Linked DNA regions of Rattus norvegicus. The protein of the gene in region 1 purifies or fractionates together with the protein of each later gene. This does not show direct contact. Links are inferred from orthologs where the notes say so. Each region holds a gene or a part of one and is shown on either strand. Other genes may lie near its edges. The genes, in order: Spsb4 and Cul5.

Evidence for each region.
Region 2: the proteins of Spsb4 (region 1) and Cul5 purify together in Homo sapiens (co-immunoprecipitation; 4 studies listed by BioGRID and IntAct, counting the BioPlex papers as one, with this or other methods). This does not show direct contact. The link is inferred for Rattus norvegicus from reciprocal best matches to the Homo sapiens genes SPSB4 and CUL5.

What each region holds. Positions count from the first base shown.
Region 1 is NC_086026.1:106,484,450-106,494,936, reverse strand, and holds the start of Spsb4 (SPRY domain-containing SOCS box protein 4), read left to right. Parts: upstream 1-5,665; 5' UTR 5,666-6,220; intron 6,221-10,487. UniProt on the Homo sapiens protein: Substrate recognition component of a SCF-like ECS (Elongin BC-CUL2/5-SOCS-box protein) E3 ubiquitin-protein ligase complex which mediates the ubiquitination and subsequent proteasomal degradation of target proteins.
Region 2 is NC_086026.1:62,908,685-62,917,837, reverse strand, and holds the end of Cul5 (cullin-5), read left to right. Parts: intron 1-1,004; coding exon 1,005-1,128; intron 1,129-5,232; coding exon 5,233-5,427; 3' UTR 5,428-5,645; downstream 5,646-9,153. UniProt on the Homo sapiens protein: Core component of multiple cullin-5-RING E3 ubiquitin-protein ligase complexes (ECS complexes, also named CRL5 complexes), which mediate the ubiquitination and subsequent proteasomal degradation of target proteins.

The DNA.
Region 1 (10,487 bases):
ACCACAAAGGACATTGTATAATGATCTGATGGTGGTGACATACCATGAACCACAGACAATGGTTAATCCAACTCTGGTTATCTGGTAGCTCACCGAAGAAAGAAACAAGAGAAGAGTGAAGCTGGACAAGGGAGCTTGCCTTTTTCTTCTTCTACCCACTGTCTTTAGCTGCCTCTGTCTGATCATTCATCCTTAAAAACCTCCTTGGTTATCTACTTCGTACCAGGCTTTAAGCGAATGTCAGAAGCACTGGGGTGAATCAGATGGTTCTAAAGCTTCACTGTCCTAACGGTACGACATAAATATTTACAAATATTCCAGCTGATTTGACTTTTTGTTTTGTTTTGTTTTAAAGAAGGGAGCCACTACCAGTTGCAAGAAATCCCAGAGGATTCGCAAGACATCATAACCAAGTGCTGTGGGATTTTCAAAGAAGAGCCAGGGTGACTAAGAGAAAAATATAGACCGTTGTACCTTTCGAGATTAACAAGAAAATGTAGGCTCGTTAGAAAAGCTATGAAGAGGGGTAAGAAACTTTGCCCTTGAAGTGCTCCTATCTTGGAGTGGGGGACAGGAAAAGCAGGGTCAAGGGTGGGAAAGACAGAAGACACACCGTGCAGAACATCTGTCAAGCCTGGGGTAAAGAAAGCTTCCCGAAAATGTGGTACACACAGGCTGAAATACAAGCTAGAGGTTCCTGGGGCAAATCAGCTTCAGGGAAAAGAGTTGGCAGGTGTCAAACCTAGTGTTGGGGAGAATGAGCTGGACACACTTCAGGGGTTCTGCGGCTGATTATGTCCTGCCCCAGGGCCAGATGGAAAGAGGTAAAATAAGAGGTGAATGGGCAGACCCAGACCCCACTAAGAAGTGTAAAAACCACCCAGTGAGTCATGGTAGTAGCCTTGAAGGATGTGTCGGATTAGTTTTCTTTTTCTGAAGACCTTCCAGACATCTGGTAGAGATGATGGCACCCAGGCTGACGAGAACAAGATCTAAATGTTGACACCCCCTCTCAGCCCGCCCTGAGTCATACTGTGCTGTAGGTCAGGTTGTGCAGTCTATTCCTGTTGAAGACAGGCAGCCCCAAATGCCCTTTCTCCTACCCTGCCACAAACCTCCTTCCAGCAAACTCTGCACTCTAAAATGCCACAGGACTCACGGATTTTCCTCAGCTGCCATAAAACCATGCTAAGTGCTTCTGCAAGACCAAGGAAACCATGTTGAATGTGTGATACCAAGGAAGACTCCAGAGTTTGACAGCTGACACCTAGGCAGTAGACAGCAAACCAAGACCTGAAGAAGCAGAGGCTGAAGAAGGCCAGTTCATGGTTCTCATGTGTCCACTTATCGCACTGTGCTGCATAAATCTGTGTGGATGAAACACCTAAAAGAGAGATTTAGACACAATCTTAAAGACCTTTGTGATGGTTTGTATATGCTTGGCCCGGGGAGTGGCACGATTAGGAGGTGCGACCTGGTTGGAGTAGATGTATCACTGTGGGTATGGGGTTAAGATCCTCACCGTAGCTGCTTGGAAGTCAGTCTTCCACTAGCAGCCTTCAAATGAAGATGAAGAACTCTCAGCTCCTCCTGTACCATGACTGCCTGGATGCTTCCTTGTTCAAGCCTTGATGATACTGGACTGAACCTCTGAACCTGTAAGCCAGCCCCAATTAAATGTTGCCCTTTATAAGACTTGCCTTGGTCATGGTGTCTGTTCACAGCAGTAAAACCCTAACTAAGACAACCTTCTACTTCAGGCATGAATCTTCCTTATTCCAAAATTCTAATGTTGTAGATTTTGGTCTCCTGATAAGCAGCATAAGAAAAAGACCGAATATCAACTTTGTGATATGCTACGACATAAAAACCACTCTCAGAAGAATATATTCTTTCCCATTGTGGTGGTTTGATTGAAAATGGTCCCAATAGGTTCATAGGGAGTGGCACTATTAGGAGATAAGGCCTTGTTGGAGTAGGTGTGGCTTTGTTGGAGGAAGTGGATTGCTAAGGGGTGGGCTTTGAGGTCTCAGATGCTCAAGCCAGGTCTAGTGTGCCGTTCACCTCCCACTGTCTGCTGATCTGCATGTAGCTGTCTCTCCAAATCATGTGGACCTGCATGTTGCCATGTTTCCCGCCATGACAATAATGGACTGAACTGTAAGCAAGCTGTAGTTAAATATTTCCCTTGATAAGAGTTGTTCTAGCATGGCATCTCTTCATAGTAATAGACATCAAATTAAGACACCCTGTTTTTCAAATGAGGAGGCTAAAAGCACACATGTCTAAACTGAGATTTTTAAACCTATAGCCAAGCAACAGCTATATGTCCATAAAATAGTGTGTGTTCTTTGGAGTGAGACCATACTGAGTTTATCAAGGATTTACTTTAGATCCACTCCTTGGCAGTTAAGAATATCTTGTATTAGTTATATGATGCTGATTAGCAAACAATCCCAAGATTCATAATTGTTTTCTCAGCATTTCCAGTCAAGAATCAGTGTGGCTTAGTTTGTGCCTCTGATTCAGTTGTCTTGAGTATAGTCAAGGCACCGAAAGGACCTCAGCCAGATAGGAAGGCTCAGTCAAGGAGGGATGTGCTACCTAGTTCAGTCCCATGGTGGCAGACCTCAGTCCCTCACCAAGTTTCCCCACACTACCTGGCTTCCTTTGTGGGGGCAAAAGCCAAAAGAGCAAAAGAGATGACATGTGCCCAGAGTTGCTGGCCTTTTCCTTATCCAATCGCAGAAGGAACAGCGTGTCTGTCCTACCGTGTTCTATTTGTGAACATCGAGACAGGGAGTCCAGCCTGCACTTCAGTGAAAGGAAGTCAGAATGTGGCAATCCAGGGACAAGGGTTATCAGAGATCAGTTTATAGGCTTCCAACTTCAGTTTAAAGATCAGGTTATCCAGGCTATTCCTCAAGTGGCAATTGTTTCTTCCTGTGTGGTTGTTTCCTCTGAATTGAAACATGCTCTCAGAGCGGGAGGAGAGAGGTTTACTAAGACTTTTTATTTTTTTAAACTAATACTCAGGAAGCTAATAAAACATAGAAGGCTTTCATAGAAGCTCATGAAAGTTACAAGATTCACAAGGCTCCTTCTCAAGCTTGTAAAAGCTGGGGTGTGGCGACTCCTCTGATTGCTAGCTGTGCAGGCACACAGATCAACTTGCCGTCCATGCTGGGGTGGGCTTTTTAGTGATGACTTTGTGCCTCCGACGCCAGTAAGTAACACCAATACATTTACTGGATCACCAAAGTAGGCTTGGGTGGGATAATTTCCCTGATCTGCCGTGGATACCTTATCTGGAATGAACAGACATTTGTCCACATTTCAAACATGGAGACATATCACACGCTATTCAGGGGGTGGAGGACTTGGGGAACTTTAGTGATACTTAGGGGTACTGTTGTACACATTTCTTGATACCTAAGGCAAGTCACATTTGTAAAGGCCTGTGGAGTGAACCTATCTGGCACACAGGTGTGTGTTTGGGGAAGTAGTTTCTCAAATTGTTGCGCCTGATCCTTCCTTGCCTTGTTCTTAAGCTATTGTGAGGTCCTTCCAGAAAGAAAGAAGAAATGCCCGTTGGCAGTTGTATTGGGATCCAGGTGGAGAAACCATCAGCTGCAGAGTCTTGGGTATTTATTTTAAGGTTTATTTTAAGTGTATGAGTGTTTTGCCTGCATGAATGTACGTGCACCATATACATGTCCGGGGCCAATGGACGTCAGAAGAAGGAGTCTGATCCCCTGGAACTGATTGATATTCTGGATAACTGTGAACTACCATGTGAGTGCTGGGAACTGAACCCTGGTCCTCTGCAGGAGCAGAAAGTACTGTTTGTTTGTTTGTTTGTTTGTTTGTTTGTTTGTTTGAGACAGGTTTTCTCTGGGTAGCCACGGCTGTATTGGAACTCACTCTGTAGACTAGGCTGGCCTTGAACTCAGAGATCTGACTGCCACTGCCTTCTGAGGGCTGGGGTTTAAAGGCGTGCATCACCACTACCCAGTTGAACTGAAAGTACTCTTAACCATCTGAGTCACCTCTCCAGTCCTTGCAAAGTCTTGCTTAAGTTCCCCTTTGCTCTGAGTTTTCCTCCGTCCTCATTTCTTGCTGTCCAGCTCTGTCAGCACCACAGCCGAGGTCAGAGCACGTACTCCAGAAGCGTCCTGAGGAGGGAGGGGACTCGAGGGGAACAAGGAAATATGTGCATGGGTCACATCACATTCTTTTAACTGTGCAGTCCCAAGGACAGAGACACACAGGTACAAAGAGACAGACATGCAGACACAGATGAAGTAGCACAAATCGCGAGCGCTGTAAATACTTGCTCAGGATACCCCTTTGCCACACCACTGAGCTGTCCTAATTGGCAAAGCATCGTTTACGTCTTGGACTTCTGAGGCAGCTTCCAAGCTGTCCTGTGCTATTCATCCATCTATCCACACCGCCACCGGATTATCTTTCTGGACAGCAAATCTGTGAAGGTCAAGAGGCCTGCCAAACTGATCTTGGGGAAAAGCCAAGCCTTTGGAGGCTCTCCAAGACCCTAAGTACCCACTCTCGTTTCATCTTACCTCTTGTTTTGACTCCAGTCGTACCACAGGCTGTTACCATGAGACTATGATGCCTCTGCGTCTAGCAGCTACTTCATGCAGACACTTCCAAATCGCCCTCCACAGTCTGGGAGAGGAACTCCGGAACCTGGGTCAACACATTTCCCTCACAGGGTTGAATTACAGGTGCTTGTCTTCTGTGTCCATGAAAAAAAAAAAGGACATTTTCTGAGAAGTGAGGTCAGTTAAGACTATGGAATGGACCTAATGTCAACTCTGGCATCGAAAGCAAGATGCACTGACCTGGAAACTTCGTTTTCCCCAAGGAAGCCTAAGTGGAGAGATACAGAGCATCCCTCGCTCTGGCCACACCCTCTTATCTCTATGTTCTGGCTAACGAGGGAGCCGCCCACCATCAGCGCCAGTAGCCCTCTGAGCAATGAATCTTCTCTCTGGCCTCAGGTGGGCGGGGAAAGGCACTGTGGAGCAGGTGCTGCGTGAAATTGGATTCTGAAAGATGAGTTGGAGTCTGGTCTCAGAAATAAAGTGCGGACATGTGTGTGCCTAAGGCAAGGGGTTATATTAAAGCATTCTCTTTCCCAGTCGCTGTTTCCCGCAGGCCTTGAATACAGGCACCAAAGCTATCTGGCAACCGTGATGTCTGCTCTCTTCATCCCCGCCCCCAGGGACACCCACCATGGCTCTCCAGGCACGCTTGAATGAATGGGGGAGGACCCGTGCGCATGAATGAGCGCGTGTGTGAGCGAGTGTCTAGGCCAGCCAGCCGGCAGATGAGTGAATGGCGTCCGCGCCACTTCGGCCCAGGGGCCCGGGCGCGGGTTCCACTTCCCTTTCCCGCCAGCTGGTGGCCTCCTGAAGGTGGCAGAGCCGAGAGCCGCCCGAGCTGGGACGGCCCGGGCGCGGGATGGTGGGGGAAGGGGCGTTCCCGGCGGCCGCGCCTTCCGCGGCTATTGGATTAGTGGCCTTCAGGGATGAGCTCAGCCGGATCGGCTTTCAGCTGCAGCCTCCGGGCCGGCCGGGAAGGCGGGGAGCGAGCGGCCGTGTAGGAGGTGGGGGAGGCGGCGGCTGCAGCATCCAGAGCTGGCCCTGGCGGTCGGCGCGCCCCGCGCACAAAGGCGCCCAGCCCCTGGGGAAGGCAATGAGCGCACAGCAGCCCGGGCCCTGGCCACCGCTGCAGCCCTCCAGGCGTGTGCTCGGTGCTCTGGGGAAGAAACCGGGTGCTCCGGGGACGAGCGGCCGAGGTGAGGCCCGAGTGCCCTGAGTGCGAGATTCGTCGCCCTCCAGGTCAGGCGCCAAGCTTTAGGGCCACCAGGGCAAGGGCTTCCGCGCCCCTCTGAGATCAGCGTAGTCGGGCACTTCACCACTCGGGACTGGACCTCGGCGGCCACTCGCCTCTCCTGAGCGTCAACTTCTCCAAGAACGTCCCTAACTCCAGGGCACCCTGCGGAGAGAGAGGGCGCTGCCGCCGGGTACAACTGAGAGGACGCGTCGCTGACTGAGAAGCAGCAGCCAGCATCCGCGGGGTCGCTCGGGCGCCCCTGAGTGGGCGGCAGTGGCAGCAGACCTCTCTCCCGGGAGTCCCGGACCTGCCAGCGCTGGGGATTCCTCCCAGGCGGGCGCTCGTCTTCTCTTTTATGGTAAGTGCTCTCCAGCTCCTGCTAAGGGGTGATCACACGCCGGTACGGGTCACACCGGTGCTCTTGGGGACTCAATGGTCCGGGTCGGTGGAAATGTCTCCGCGAATTGTGGCAATCCTAGCTGGTTGGTTTGCGCCTAGCTTCGGGCGTTGCACTGAGCCCAGCCTCTGGTACTGTAGGTTTGAAATCGCTGCTCTCGGTGTAGTGGAGACCACACACACACACACACACACACACACACACACACACACACACTGAGCGCAGACTCACCGGATTATGTTCCGGTCGTACATCCGTCACTCTCCGGGGTGACCTTAGGCCAGGCACCGCAACCTCGGTTTCCTCATCCGTAGGATGGGGATGATAATTGAATCCTTTATACTAGAGTGTTGGAGGGAACTGCTGGGTTGGTGCGGAGACCTGCGCCTGGCATTCAGAAAGCACTTAGGCACTAACTAGCGTTAATCTTAGCTTTTTGAGTCTAAGCACATCACCCAGTTTCCCAGAGCTGCCTCATCTGTGTGGCGAGGACAGTAATTTCTAGGGGTCTGCTGGTCTGTGGCTTTTGGAGCGTTGGGAGTAAAGCGCCGAGCAATCAGCAGGCGCTGGTGATGATTGTTATGGTTCACCTCCGACGCTGGAGTAGGGAAGACTGATTGCCCAGTCCGGGAGCCGCTCGCGGACGGTCCCCAGCCTGGCTGCGGGACAAACTTGGAAAGAATGGGTGGCTCAGGGGCTCTGGGAAACAGGAAGGAAGCCAAAGCCCTAAGTGCGGCAAATAAGTCCACTTCTGTTGAGCCGGGAAAAACAAGGGACCCCAAACCCCTGGCTGGAAAGGCCCAGGAAGTGTGATTCCCACCGCCCGGTGGCCAAGCGAGGGCTGCTGAGTCAAGAAGAGAGAAGAGGGCACGTTTGTGTGGCTCTCTCTCTGGAACTTTCAGTCCTGCAGTTCCGGGCTTGGATTCGAATTCGGCTTTCAGCACTATCCCGCGGTGTGACCTTGAGCAGTTCTTCTAAGGTCTGCTGCTCTTCTGTGCTTCCCCTCCCCCTCCCCCTTCTTCCCCCTCTCCTCGCTCCTCTCCCTCCCCCTACTCCGCGATTTGGGTGTGAACGCCTCTTATCCTTCCATTCATCTGTCTCAAACAGTTTAGAGTCTATCTAGATCTAGAAGAGATGCCACGGATTATGGGAAGGTTCACTCTCCCACTGTGCCCTGTGGAAAGCGACTAGCGCCTGAGGCTTCAGATCTGTTTCCTCGCTTTGACACCTCGGTCTTTAAACTACAAGTTTCTATTACTCAGGATGATGGAGGATCCTTCAAACTCTCCCCTCCGCTAGCTCTCCCAAACCATTCAATATTGGTTTAGGGTTTATTGGTTTAAACCCTCCTTGTAGAACAGCAAAATGTCACAAGTGTGGTATAGACATCCTTTACACGGGCAGCCGCAGTTTTTGAGACACACGCACGCACACACCCTGATTCCATGTTTCAGATTTCCACAGCAAAGGTGGTAAAGAGAATTTAAGCCACTTTTGGCAAGCTGCGACCAAAATAGACTCACCAGCCATGCCATGCAAATATCTCTTCAGTTTTCATTTCTCTTCGATTTTAAAGAATCAGTGCCATAGCAATACAATCTGCAAGGAAAAAAAAAACTTGCCAGAAGCAGTCAGGTAAATCTGGGGGGGGATGCTGCCATGGTTTCATAGCTTCCAATTTGGAACAGATTGGGGGGGGGGGTGCCGGGAGTGGAACCCAGGACTTTGTGCATGCTAGACAGGCACTCCACCCCCGAGCTCTAGCCTCAGTCTAAACTGTGTAAAGAATCAAGACAAGGAGGAGCCCCTAAGGACAAAGACTACAGACAATTCACACAGAGAGAGTGGAACAGAGATAACACGAAAACCTAGTGCCTTACCACACTCAATAAGAAAAATGTGTGTTGAAGCCGTAAGTAAGATTCCATTTTTCAGACATCAGATCAGCAATAGTAATAGCCAGTTCACCAGCAAGGAGCGCTTATCCTCAAAACTGTAAATAGACCAAATTCCTCTCTAGCTAGAACTTCCTCAAGACCTCTAGGAGTAAAGGCAGGGTATGCCCTCTAGGCCTGGCTACCACCGATACCATCTTCTCTGTCACTTTTCCCTTCCCCACCCCTGAAACCCTGGCCTAAGATCTTGGTTTTGCTCCAACACTCCAGGGCTTGTTCCTTTCCTGATTTCCACTCCTACCCCCAGTTGGTTATAGGACGGCAGCCTTGTCATCCTTCAGGGATGTCCCAGGATGTGGCTAGGCTCAGGCCCCAGGCAAGGTCTTTGCCCTTTGAGGGAAAGGCCCAGTGCAGCACCCCATGCCCCGGTTTGTTAATTTTTTGCTAAGCCAACTGGCTCACTGCCACACATCGGTGCTCCTGAGAGGGCCCTCCTCTGTTGGCACGGTAACAAAAGATCTCCAGGAGCTCCCTAGATAGAACAAGAAACTGGATGTGGAAAATCAGGAGGTTCGAGGGACTTAGCTGGCTAGGTCCATTAGAAGTCTTTCCTGGTAATCATTTTTTTTTAAAGTACTTATGTGTGCACTTAACTTGTGTGAACACGATCACTCATACTTGGCAAAAAGATCAATAAGAAAAAATTAAAAATCTAGCAGCGCATTTAAATAAAACATGGCCCCTCCGTGAGGGGCTGGCTTTCTTTCCTGCTGCTGCTCAGACAGACCCAGGGATCTGCTCAGAAGCTGCAGAACGCAGCAGTGTGGCCCATCCTTTGGGAAAGACCCCAGCTGAGCCGTCGTAAACTTTGTGGAGTGTTGATTGCTCAGGATTCTTGCTTCACACGTTGAATTTGGAACTTAATCCATGCTTCAAATGTGCACTTCAGTTGTGGGGGGAAAAAAAACACTTGATGGTAAAAACACAAATTATTCAGTCCAACAAGCATTTTTTTTTTGAGATGGCTCTCAACTTGCAGCCCATGCTGAACTAGAACTCACAGTGTAGCCCAGGCTGGCCCTAAACTCTGAATCCTCCAGGCCCTCTTCCCAAGTGTTAGGATTGGAGTACCTGGTTCTGGCAAATACCTTGCTGCAGACAGGTAGTGTGTACATGGCTTAGAAGATGGGGGCAATTAGCTGGGCACTGGCTCGCCTTCTAGGAATAGCACATGATGCAGGGGGTGTCAGCGGGACTAGACGTTTAGGATAACATCTTGGGATGGAGAGATGGAGGAGGATGCTGTGGTGGGCACAGGAGTGAGGGAATGTAGGCAGTGAAGGTCAGCAGGTTCCAGATGCTTGTGGTAGGAAGCGGTACGCTGACTTGAGAGTTTGGCATCCTGGTTAGAGAAAGGCTACAAGGAGAGGTTGACTGTGACACCCTTGGGTGTCAGCTCAAAGGGTGCATGCTTGAATGAGCAGGTGACAGGCGGCTTGATGGGGTTTAGCCTTTTGGTGGCAAGGCGGGGTGGGTTAGAGAATCACAGGCCCTCACTCAGAGCCTGCTTTAGTAATCCTGTCAGGTAGTGGTTCTCAACCTTCCTAATTCTGCTTTAGGATCTTAAATACAGCTCCTCGTATTGTGGTGACTTCCAACCATACAGTTATTTGAGTTGCTACCTCATTACTGTAATTTTTCGACTGTTATGAATCATAATGATATCTGATAGGAAGGATTGAGAGGTCATGATGCACAGGTTGAGAACCACCGTGCTAAGGTGTAAACCGAGAGGAAGTAAAAAAGTTATTGGTTCGGAGCCATAGATGGGAACCTGGGTTATGGGCAATGGAAGAAGCAGAGCCCATCCCCAAGACACACGATTCTCAAGTTCTAGTGGACCCCAGATGTGCCAATGTGCAGCACTGAGAAGGTAGACAAGAGCTCAGGAGGAAGCTCAGGATGGAAAGGAAACACTACAAAGTCATTTAAGGAGCATCTAGAGTGACCAGAGTCTACTTGAGGGAGGGCAGGCCGGACTGGAGACGTCCTTAGAGCGCTGGAAGGGCAAATTTTAAGAAAGGATACACAGAGAGGAAGAGGCAGAGCCCAGGCAGAGCTGCCTTGTGGGGCTGTACTTGTAGTGCCGGCAGGAAAGTTGGTGTAGACACTCCACTTCCCGAGTGCAGAGTGGCGCCCGCAGCGTCTATCTGGGTTGTGATCTGGAGAACTGAGTTTATGGTGAGCCACAATCTCTGCCTTTTCCAGACATGAGTGAGCTTGGCCCAGTTCGCTGGCCTATAAAGACATCCCACTGTGAGCCACGGTCTGTA
Region 2 (9,153 bases), about 44 Mb from region 1:
GTCCAATCTGTTTGGAGTTCTGTAGGCTTCTTTATGCTGGTGTGTTGGGATATTCAGTGTTTGCTGTGGTGGGAGAGCTGGTTTGTGATGATGCCAGGTAGTCTCGGTTTCTGTTGCTTGGGTTTTCTGTGCTTGCCTCTTGCTATCTGGTTATCTCTGCTGTTAACTGGAGCTTGTCCTTCCTGTGGGCCTGTGAGCCTTTGAGCATGTGAGTCTGTAATCTTAGGAGTGAGAGCACTCCATGGAGACCAGCTGTCTTTGGGCATTTTTGGGTGTGGAGGGCTATGGGACAGCCTTATCTCTGGGCACAGATGAAGACCAGAAGGGTCCTATGGCAGGCCGCCCCGTTGCTCCCATGTCCTGTTTGCTCCCGGTGAGTCTCTCTGTGGATAGCTAGTAGAAAAGAAAGTGGAGTCCCACCTGTGGGCATAGGAGTGCAAGCGCTCATGGCAGACCAGGTGTCTCTGGGCTGGTTTTGGGTCTGAGGGCTGTGAGACAGCCCCAGCTCTAGGCACAGATGGAGACATGCCATTTTATTTTTTAATTGAAAGTAAAGACCAAAAGAGAGAGGGAGTGGGTAAAACAGCTTTATGTAGGCAGAGCTGTTTATCTGAAGATTCAATCAGATAATGCTGTATAAAACCTTTTTGCTTTTGCTTTAATTATTATTCTCGTGGCAGTGAAATTAATGTTTTGAGGGATCTGGTCCCTAGTCATCAGAGGCTAGGTCTTGTTTGAAGGATCACATTTTTTTAAAAAAATTTTGTTTGCAACAGATAGCCTAGCCTCAAAGCAATCAAGATCCTTCTGGGCAGCTTCCCTCACTAGGATTGCAGGTGACTGTAGACCAGGGCCACCGTGATAGGCATAGGGACTGCTCAGAGTAAAGCTGCATGCTATCACTTCACTTTCCTACAGTTCTGAGTGATAATGTCTAACGATGCTTCTAAAACTTCAGACATTGTGCTGCAGTAAATGTTTAACATTTTTGATTTTTTTTGTAGAAAAAATGCAAAAGTACAGAAAAGGGGAAAAATCAATTTGATTGGACGCTTGCAGCTCACTACAGAACGGATGAGAGAAGAAGAAAATGAAGGAATAGTTCAACTAAGAATATTAAGAACCCAGGTTGGTATAGGGAGAAAAAATGTTCAACTTCCCTCTTTTTTTTTCAATTTTTATTACATTGGGTATTTCCAGTGTTAATTCCCTTTCCCGGTTTCCTGTCCTTCAGCCCCCAACCCCTCCCCTTTCCCTTCTATATGAGTGTTCCCCTCCTTATTCACCCCCCCTTACTGCCCTCCCCCCTGACATTCCCCTACACTGGGGGTCCAACCTTGCCTGGATCAAGGGCTTCCCCTTCCACTGGTGCCCTTACTAGGCTATTCTCTGCTACATATGCAGTTGGAGCCATGGGTCAGTCCAGGTATACTCTTTCGGTAGTGGTTTAGTCCCTGGAAGCTCTGGTTGGTTGGCATTGTTGTTCATATGGGGTCTTAAGCCCCTTCAGCTCTTTCAGTCCTTTTTCTAACTCCTCCAACAGGGATCCCATTCTCAGTTCAGTGGTTTGCTGCTAGCATTCGCCTCTGTATTTGACATGTTCTGGCTGTCATGTTCTCAGGAGACATCTATATCTGGTTCCTGTCAGCATGCACTTCTTTGCTTCATCCATCTTATCTAGTGTGGTGACTGTATATGTATGGGCCACATTTGGGGCAGGCTCTGAATGGCTGTTCCTTCTGTCTCTGCTCTAAACTTTGCCTCCCTATTCCCTCCTATGGATATTTTTGCTCCCCTTTTAAAGGAGTGAAGCATCCACCAAATTTTCTCTCTTGTTCTTTGTTCTTTGCTTCTCTGCTCTCTTCCCCTCTATTCCTGTCCCTTCTCTCTCCACCCCCCACCCCCTTCCCTCCACGTGTCCCATGGCCAACCTTTCCTCTCCTCTCCTCTCCTCTTCTCTCATTAAACTTCTCCACGTAGGGGGGAAAAAAAGAATGACCAAAATTTTCAAGCTTCTTTAAAAAGACAAAAACAAAAAAAACGAGTATTCAGAATGGGGCATAGTGACATTTTCTTTTTTTAAAGATTTATTTATTTATCATATACAAGTACACTGTAGCTCTCTTCAGATACACCAGAAGAGGGCATCAGATCCCATTACATATGGTTGTGAGCCACCATGTGGTTGCTGGGAATTGAACTCAGGACCTCTGGAAGAGCAGTCGGTGCTCTTAACCTCTGAGCCATCTCTCCAGCCCATGACATATTCTTTTAACCTCACTCTGTGGAATTTGAGGCAGACTGATCTCTGAGTTTAAGGCCTGACCTATAGAGGATTCGGGGCAGCCAGAGCTGTCTAGGGAGAGCCTGCCTCCAAAACACCAAACAAAACCCTTCCAACAGTGGATAAAAAACACGAAAGTCATTTATTCATAAATAAGAGCTAATGCTCATTTTATTAGTAATTAAAAATTAAATTAGTTAATTCTCTCTGCTACCAGAAATGCTCTTTTGGATTGGAGGTTTGTAATAAGTTCTGATGTATTGTTTGGATAAAACCTTGGTTTTTATTTATGTCTCTTTTTGATACCCTACTGAGTACATGTATCTCAGCCACAGCTGAGAACTTGCAGAACTGAAGTATTTAAAACTATATTGAATTCTGAAATGTAATGTGCCCTTAGGAAATGTTTTTTATTTAGAACTAAGAAACATTATCTGGTATATTTTCCTTTGAAAAATGTGTTAAAATTAGGATTATGATGGCTTCTGAACATGGTAAAAATATTTATTACTAGAAAGGTAAGGTGGCTCAGTTCGTAGATATTTGACAGCAAGCTGACAGCTTGCGCTGTCAGAAGGAGAGAGGCTCCTTAGCGAGGTCGTTCTCCTCGTCTCCACTACCCGGAAATGAATACAACATACAGGGAAACAGAGCTGGCGAGATCGTGCGGTAGGTGGTGTAATTGACAACCTGAGTTCAGTCCCAGCAGTTCACTTGATGTAAGGAAGAAACCGACTCAAGTCCACAGTTGTCTTCCAACCTTCGCATGTAGAAGAGAGCGAGAGGCGCTCTCCTATGGGCACATGTGCATGTGTACACAACAAACAAGTTCTTAAAACTTCTAATGAATTGCAAACTGATGGTTATTTTAATTAAAGAAAAAAAGTCTTTTAACAGGGCTGCTTTTTTGGTTGTACTTTTACAGTTTTTATTTAGTATTATTTGAAATTTTGGTGAATGCCATACAGTTTGAAGCACGAAGAAAGATTAAAAGTTTTCATGGTCCTACAATCTTCACATTCCTAGATGGACAGACTTACTGTTTTTGTTTTCCTTTATATTTTTGACATAAAGCCCTATTTATAATCTGATCAAAAGCCTGGTATCATTGGACAAGATGACTGACTCATCAGGTAACAGAAACCTGGTGATCTTAGTTTAATCCCAGAAGGCCATTTACAGATGTATAGAGTGAATTCCACGACAGCCAGGGCCACACAGAGAAACAAACCCTGCCTCAAGAATACCAACCAGCCAACCACCAGATGGAGAGAGAGCTGCTGTTAGAAAGCCTTCTGACTTCCACACTCCTGCTCTGGCGTGTGCTTGTAAACATGTAACATGTAATGATGTGCAATGATAACAGTTAAAAGCGTCTTGTAAAAACAATGTATGAAAGCTTGTAACTGGATGCATCGCAGATCATGTAGTATCAATGACAGACTGTCATGCCTGTACAGGAGAGCTGAAAAGTGGAAGGGATTTTACCCTGCTGAACCTGCGGGTTCCCGAGTGTGTTTGCATTGTTGCTGTCAGGTGTTAATACGTTGTCCACAGGAAAAAGTCCAAGGGTTTCCTGCACGTCCCAGAATCTCAGTGCTCACAGTTCTTGTATAGAATGTGTAGTGCCTGAATACGCCCCTACATATTTTATACCATATATTTAAGTAATCTCTAGGTCATCATAGCACCTAATACAGTATAAGTGCTGTGTGACTAGTCCCCATGCTCTGTGGTTTAAGTTTGTGTGCTTAATACAGACGCAGCTCTCATAAGCCTAATTACATTTTTGTGGTTGGTTGTTTTGTTGGTTTGGTTTCGTTTTTGAGACAGGGTTTCTCTGTGTAGCCCAGGTTGTCCTGGAACTCACTCTGTGGACTCAGATCTGACTGGGATTAAAGGCCACCATAATCAGCTCATGATTCTGCTGCTCAGTCAGTCTGTAGTGTGGAGCACACAGATACAGAGAACCAACTGCATCTCTTCTATTTCCTTTATACAAAATTGTAGTATCCACTGAGCCACCTTGTTGCCTAAGGGAAGCTAAACTTTAATAATGATTACAGGAAGTCTAGTTTTCAGGTAATGTCATTGCCAACTTCTATGTAGTTTAAAAATCACTAAGACCATATTGATAAAATTGACTTAGGTGGAATATGTTGATTTCTTTAGAAACATTTAAATGTCAGAAACATGAATTAAATCAATAGAAGTAAAGACAGGATCTGTGGTAAATATTGCTATCACTGTATTATTAGTCTAGTTAATATAGAGAGTAGTGTTTACAGATTTTTTTTTTTTTTTTTTTTGGTTCTTTTTTTCGAAGCTGGGGACCGAACCCAGGTGTTTACAGATTTTTAAGACTAGACATTCATGGTTCTCCTGTTATACAAAGAGACACCCTAATATTAGAGGCAAATTTGTGTAGGTGGAGTCCTGTGTCTTATTGCATTTATTTGTATGTGTGTGTGATCATATGTGTATGTATAAGTTAGAACACAACTTTTCAAGATTTGATACTATTTTTCCACTTTGTTGGTCCTAGGGGTTGAACTCAGGTCATCGTGCATTAAGATGGTGCAACAAGCACCTTTATCCACTGAGCTATGTTAACAGCACCCACAGATTTGCTCATGACTATTCCGCCTTTTCAGGCACCAGACATGTATGTGGTACAAAGTCATACAGGGAGTCAAGCATTCAAATGCATATTAATTTTTATAAAACAGTAGAGATTATAGGTTAATTTTGGCTTCCTTTACTTTCAAAATCTTTGTAATAAGTGCAAGGGGAAAAAAATTGTAGCTGCTGATTAAGTCTCCAGGTGAATAGCTAGGGGCCGTACAGTGTGGCTGGTGTTAGGAGATAACATAGGAAATGTTACTGATTTGCTTTGCTCAAACTAGTTGAATGTATTCATGTACTTTCCTTTTCCCTTTTCCTCTTAGGAAGCCATCATACAAATAATGAAAATGAGGAAGAAAATTAGCAATGCTCAGCTGCAGACTGAATTAGTAGAAATTTTGAAAAACATGTTCTTACCACAGAAGAAAATGATAAAAGAGCAAATCGAATGGCTGATCGAGCACAAGTACATCAGGAGGGATGAGGCCGACATCAACACCTTCATATACATGGCGTAGCTGAATCCAGCCTGCCGCAGCTACACATCTGGAGACCTGGGCAGAAGGTTGTCCCAGGCTGAGCTGGAGGAAGGTTTATTTGGACTTTGATTACATAAATATTAAACTCTGCCTTACCTTACAAAGCGACTATATTTTGCCAGTCACATTAGTCAGCATGATGGCAATCCCTTCATGTTGCACACTCTTTAACAGCATGCTGTTTTGTGGAGAAAATTGCATTCATGAAGAGCCCATTATGAACTTTCAAAGTCAATTCAATTTTTACCCACCCAGAGAAATAACATTTTGGAAGGGTGAGGGTGGGGTTCCTTTTGCTTCTTTTATCCCCCTTTCCTCTTTAAAGGAATATACTTACACAAGGAAGGATTTTCAGATACTCATGCACTGAGAAATGCTGGGGTTTTTTGTTGGTTTGTTATTTTTGGGTTTTTTTTTTTTTTTAATGCAATTAAAGCTAGAGGCAGCACTCAGCTTCTTTTGATGCAGAGTGAATTGTCAACACTGTTGGGCAAGGGCAGGCACACTTGAGAAGACAGTGTGCCAGTGTTGAGCTGTTTGTCAAACACTGCTTTCACTTTAGTGACTGGATCTTAATGGTAACGGAAACTGGTATTAAATATTTCTACCTTACAAATGCTGATTTTCACTGAGCAGGAGAGTGCTGTTTAGTCATTTGTTGTTAAACATGAAGATGTGGGATTTTCTTTTTAGACTTTGTATGGCTGGAGAGCTTGTTTTGAAAACATGAAGTTTATAGTCAATGTTGTTTCAGTTAAAAATTTATGGGTTTAGGTACATCACTGATTACAGAAATCAGAATCCCGAAGTAAACATGTTAAGTGTGTTACTAATACACTTAATACTTATACACCTAATATTTACTATACTGTACCTAAATTTGTTGAAAACAATGCAGAAATATTCTGATACAGTACAGTGAGAGAATTGCTTTCTTAACCTGTAGCATAGAATTATTTGGTGATTGAAAGTGTTGTGATTAGGAATTTACCACCTCAGTTTTCTGGAAAGACATTCTCTATTTAAAAGTAATAATTACCCGCCACTTAGCAGGAAGAAAGGTAAGATTACGACCTGCAACCTGCAAAGCACTCAAGAGTTGCTAGTCCTAACGTGAGCAGTAACCTTGCCAAATATGTACATATATATTTATATATTTTAAAAATAAACATTTTTAAAATGTTTAGAGGGCAACACCTACCTTGCTCCTCTCGTTAATCCAGAGCGGTGACTCAGGACCTCACAGACAGAGCAGTGGGAAGTTGGAAACTGAGGACTCAAGCAACTGAAGAGAATTATTCCCCAGCAGGAAAGATGGCTCCCTGTGGATTTTTACTCATTGTGGTGCACGTTTCAAGTTTTCTTGCAAATTTTAGAACTTTTGATGTTAAGTAGTATTTTGAAGTCTGGTTCTGAAGCTGACAGAACATGGAGTGTTGAGAAGCATACAGTAGAACACGAGTGTTGAAGCATACAGTAGAACACGGAGTGTTGAAGCATACAGTATTACATCACCACAGTGGGCTGTGGGTTCGCCTGCTGCTCAGCTTGGGAGCTCCTTGCTGGAAGGAAATAAAGTATATGTTAGATGTTTAAGGTTTTGATAATTATAGTCGAATATCTGTTCTGAAACTCATAGGAAGCTGGAGTGCATGTGTGCTTCCCGTCTGCCCTGCAGCTCTGAGGTGATGTGGAGCAGGAGTGAAGAGCAAACTCAGTGCTTGCTGCCGTACCGCGTGGATGATGGTACATCCAGATTCAGAGGGATAGTTTTATAACGACTGTGGCCCTTCTGTTTAATAGCTTGGTGTTGGCAAATTTTCCTCTCCCAATACCAGAATGCCAAAGGAAGAAACAATCAAGGGAAAAATTTTAGGCCATTTCTTAATGTTTAAGATTTGTCATTTTAAACCATAATTTTTCTTAGAACATCTTTGAAATTTCTAATCGCTTTGGTCATTTAAGAATGAGAGCTGCGATGTTTTGATTTATAAAGGCAAACTTAATGCAAAGTGGGTAACACTAAATCCATAGCAAAGTTTTTTATTAAATTTTTATAAATTTTTTAATAGTTAATTATGTCCTAATTGTATTTTGGGGAATGAGCAGCAGTAAATACCACAGACTTAACAGTTTTCATCCTTTTTTTAAAGTATATATATACAAAAGTGTAACTACGTTTTGGTGTTTATCAAAACTATTTAGTTGACAAGGTGCCTATACCATTGTTGAGATTTTCTTTAAATGTTTTATGAATAGATTTGAAAATTTTAAAAAATCCTGAAACAGATCTTACACAGCAAGAGTTTTCTGAAGGTCCAGAACCACTGACACAGTGTTCCCTATCTGATCTCTCTTCCCTGCAGACTTTATATTCTTGCTATCTGAGCAGGGCCAAACACGTCACAGGTGAGGGGAGGGAAAGCCCAGCTTCCCACTCAACACCAGAGAGGCATTTTTAAATGAATGATGTGGCTTGCTCAGAGGTTTGAGTACTTCTCTCTATCTTAGGTGGCACTGTCTGTAAATGCTAACCTGTCACCATCTCACAGCCATAGTAAGGAGACGGAACAAATTCGCCCAGTGGAAAGGATAGACTCATCGATGTGTACAGTTAGACAAACATGAGGCCCTCATTCTAATAATTTTATAAGAATCTTCAACTAAATTCTGAAGTCTCCCAATTTTTGCAGTTATTGGAGGAGATCCCTGAGTTTACCAGCCTGTTCATTGAAAGCTCTTACTCTGTGCACAAATATTAAAGTCACCAAAAAAGTGAACTGTTAATCATTCTTATTTTTTAAACTCCATTAGATTGACTGGTATCATTAGCTCTGCTGCAAGGGCACATTTTTCAATTCAATCTGGTGATATATTTGCTAAGTCTACAGAAAGTTTGCTGTCATAAACTCAAGCTGGCTCTTCTGTCTTTGTGTGAATGACTGGGATGCTGCCACAAGTTTTCCCAAGGTCACAGTTATGAGAGAAACATTGTTTGAGAGCGTTCCTGTCATCTACACTATGTGTGGTCTGGAGTTCCTGAGGTGTAGTCTCTCGTCCTGACCTGTACAGTTTTGAATGTGCACCACTCCATACTGAGATGACACTGTACAGTTTTCCATGGTAGCAGTTTCTGTATGCAGTAGGCTGAAATATTTTGATGAACTGCTTAATTTTTGGATTTTATTTTTTAAGTTGTATAATTTATTTTCTTGCAAAATAAAAGTGTAATATAAAACATTTCATCTATCCAGAAAATCTTGATGTTCTACCATAAAAATTTTACAACAGTTAAAAATTTTTGGCAAGCCAGGGCAGTATCATGTACCTTCAATCCTAGCATTCTAGAGACAGGGGCAGAGGATCTCTGAGTTCAAGATCAGCCTGGTGTACTGACCAGTTGCAGGCCAGTCAGGGCTAGCCTGTCTTTAACATCAGTGAAAATTGTTTCCGTCGGGTAGGGCTGCTGCTTGTCATCCAGCTGCTTGGGAAGATGTGGTAGTGGATGGTTCAGGCCCAGCTCAGGACTAACATGGACAGGCACAGGGAGACTGCCTCAGTGAAGAACATCTTGTTATGTGTTGGGATAGAGTAGCACATTTTAGCCACCATGAAGACCAGCAGCAAGACATGACAGTTGGGTGAATGAACACATGGCTTTCTAAAGGCTCAAACTTTTGCCTTCACTAGAATTGTGGGAGTTGA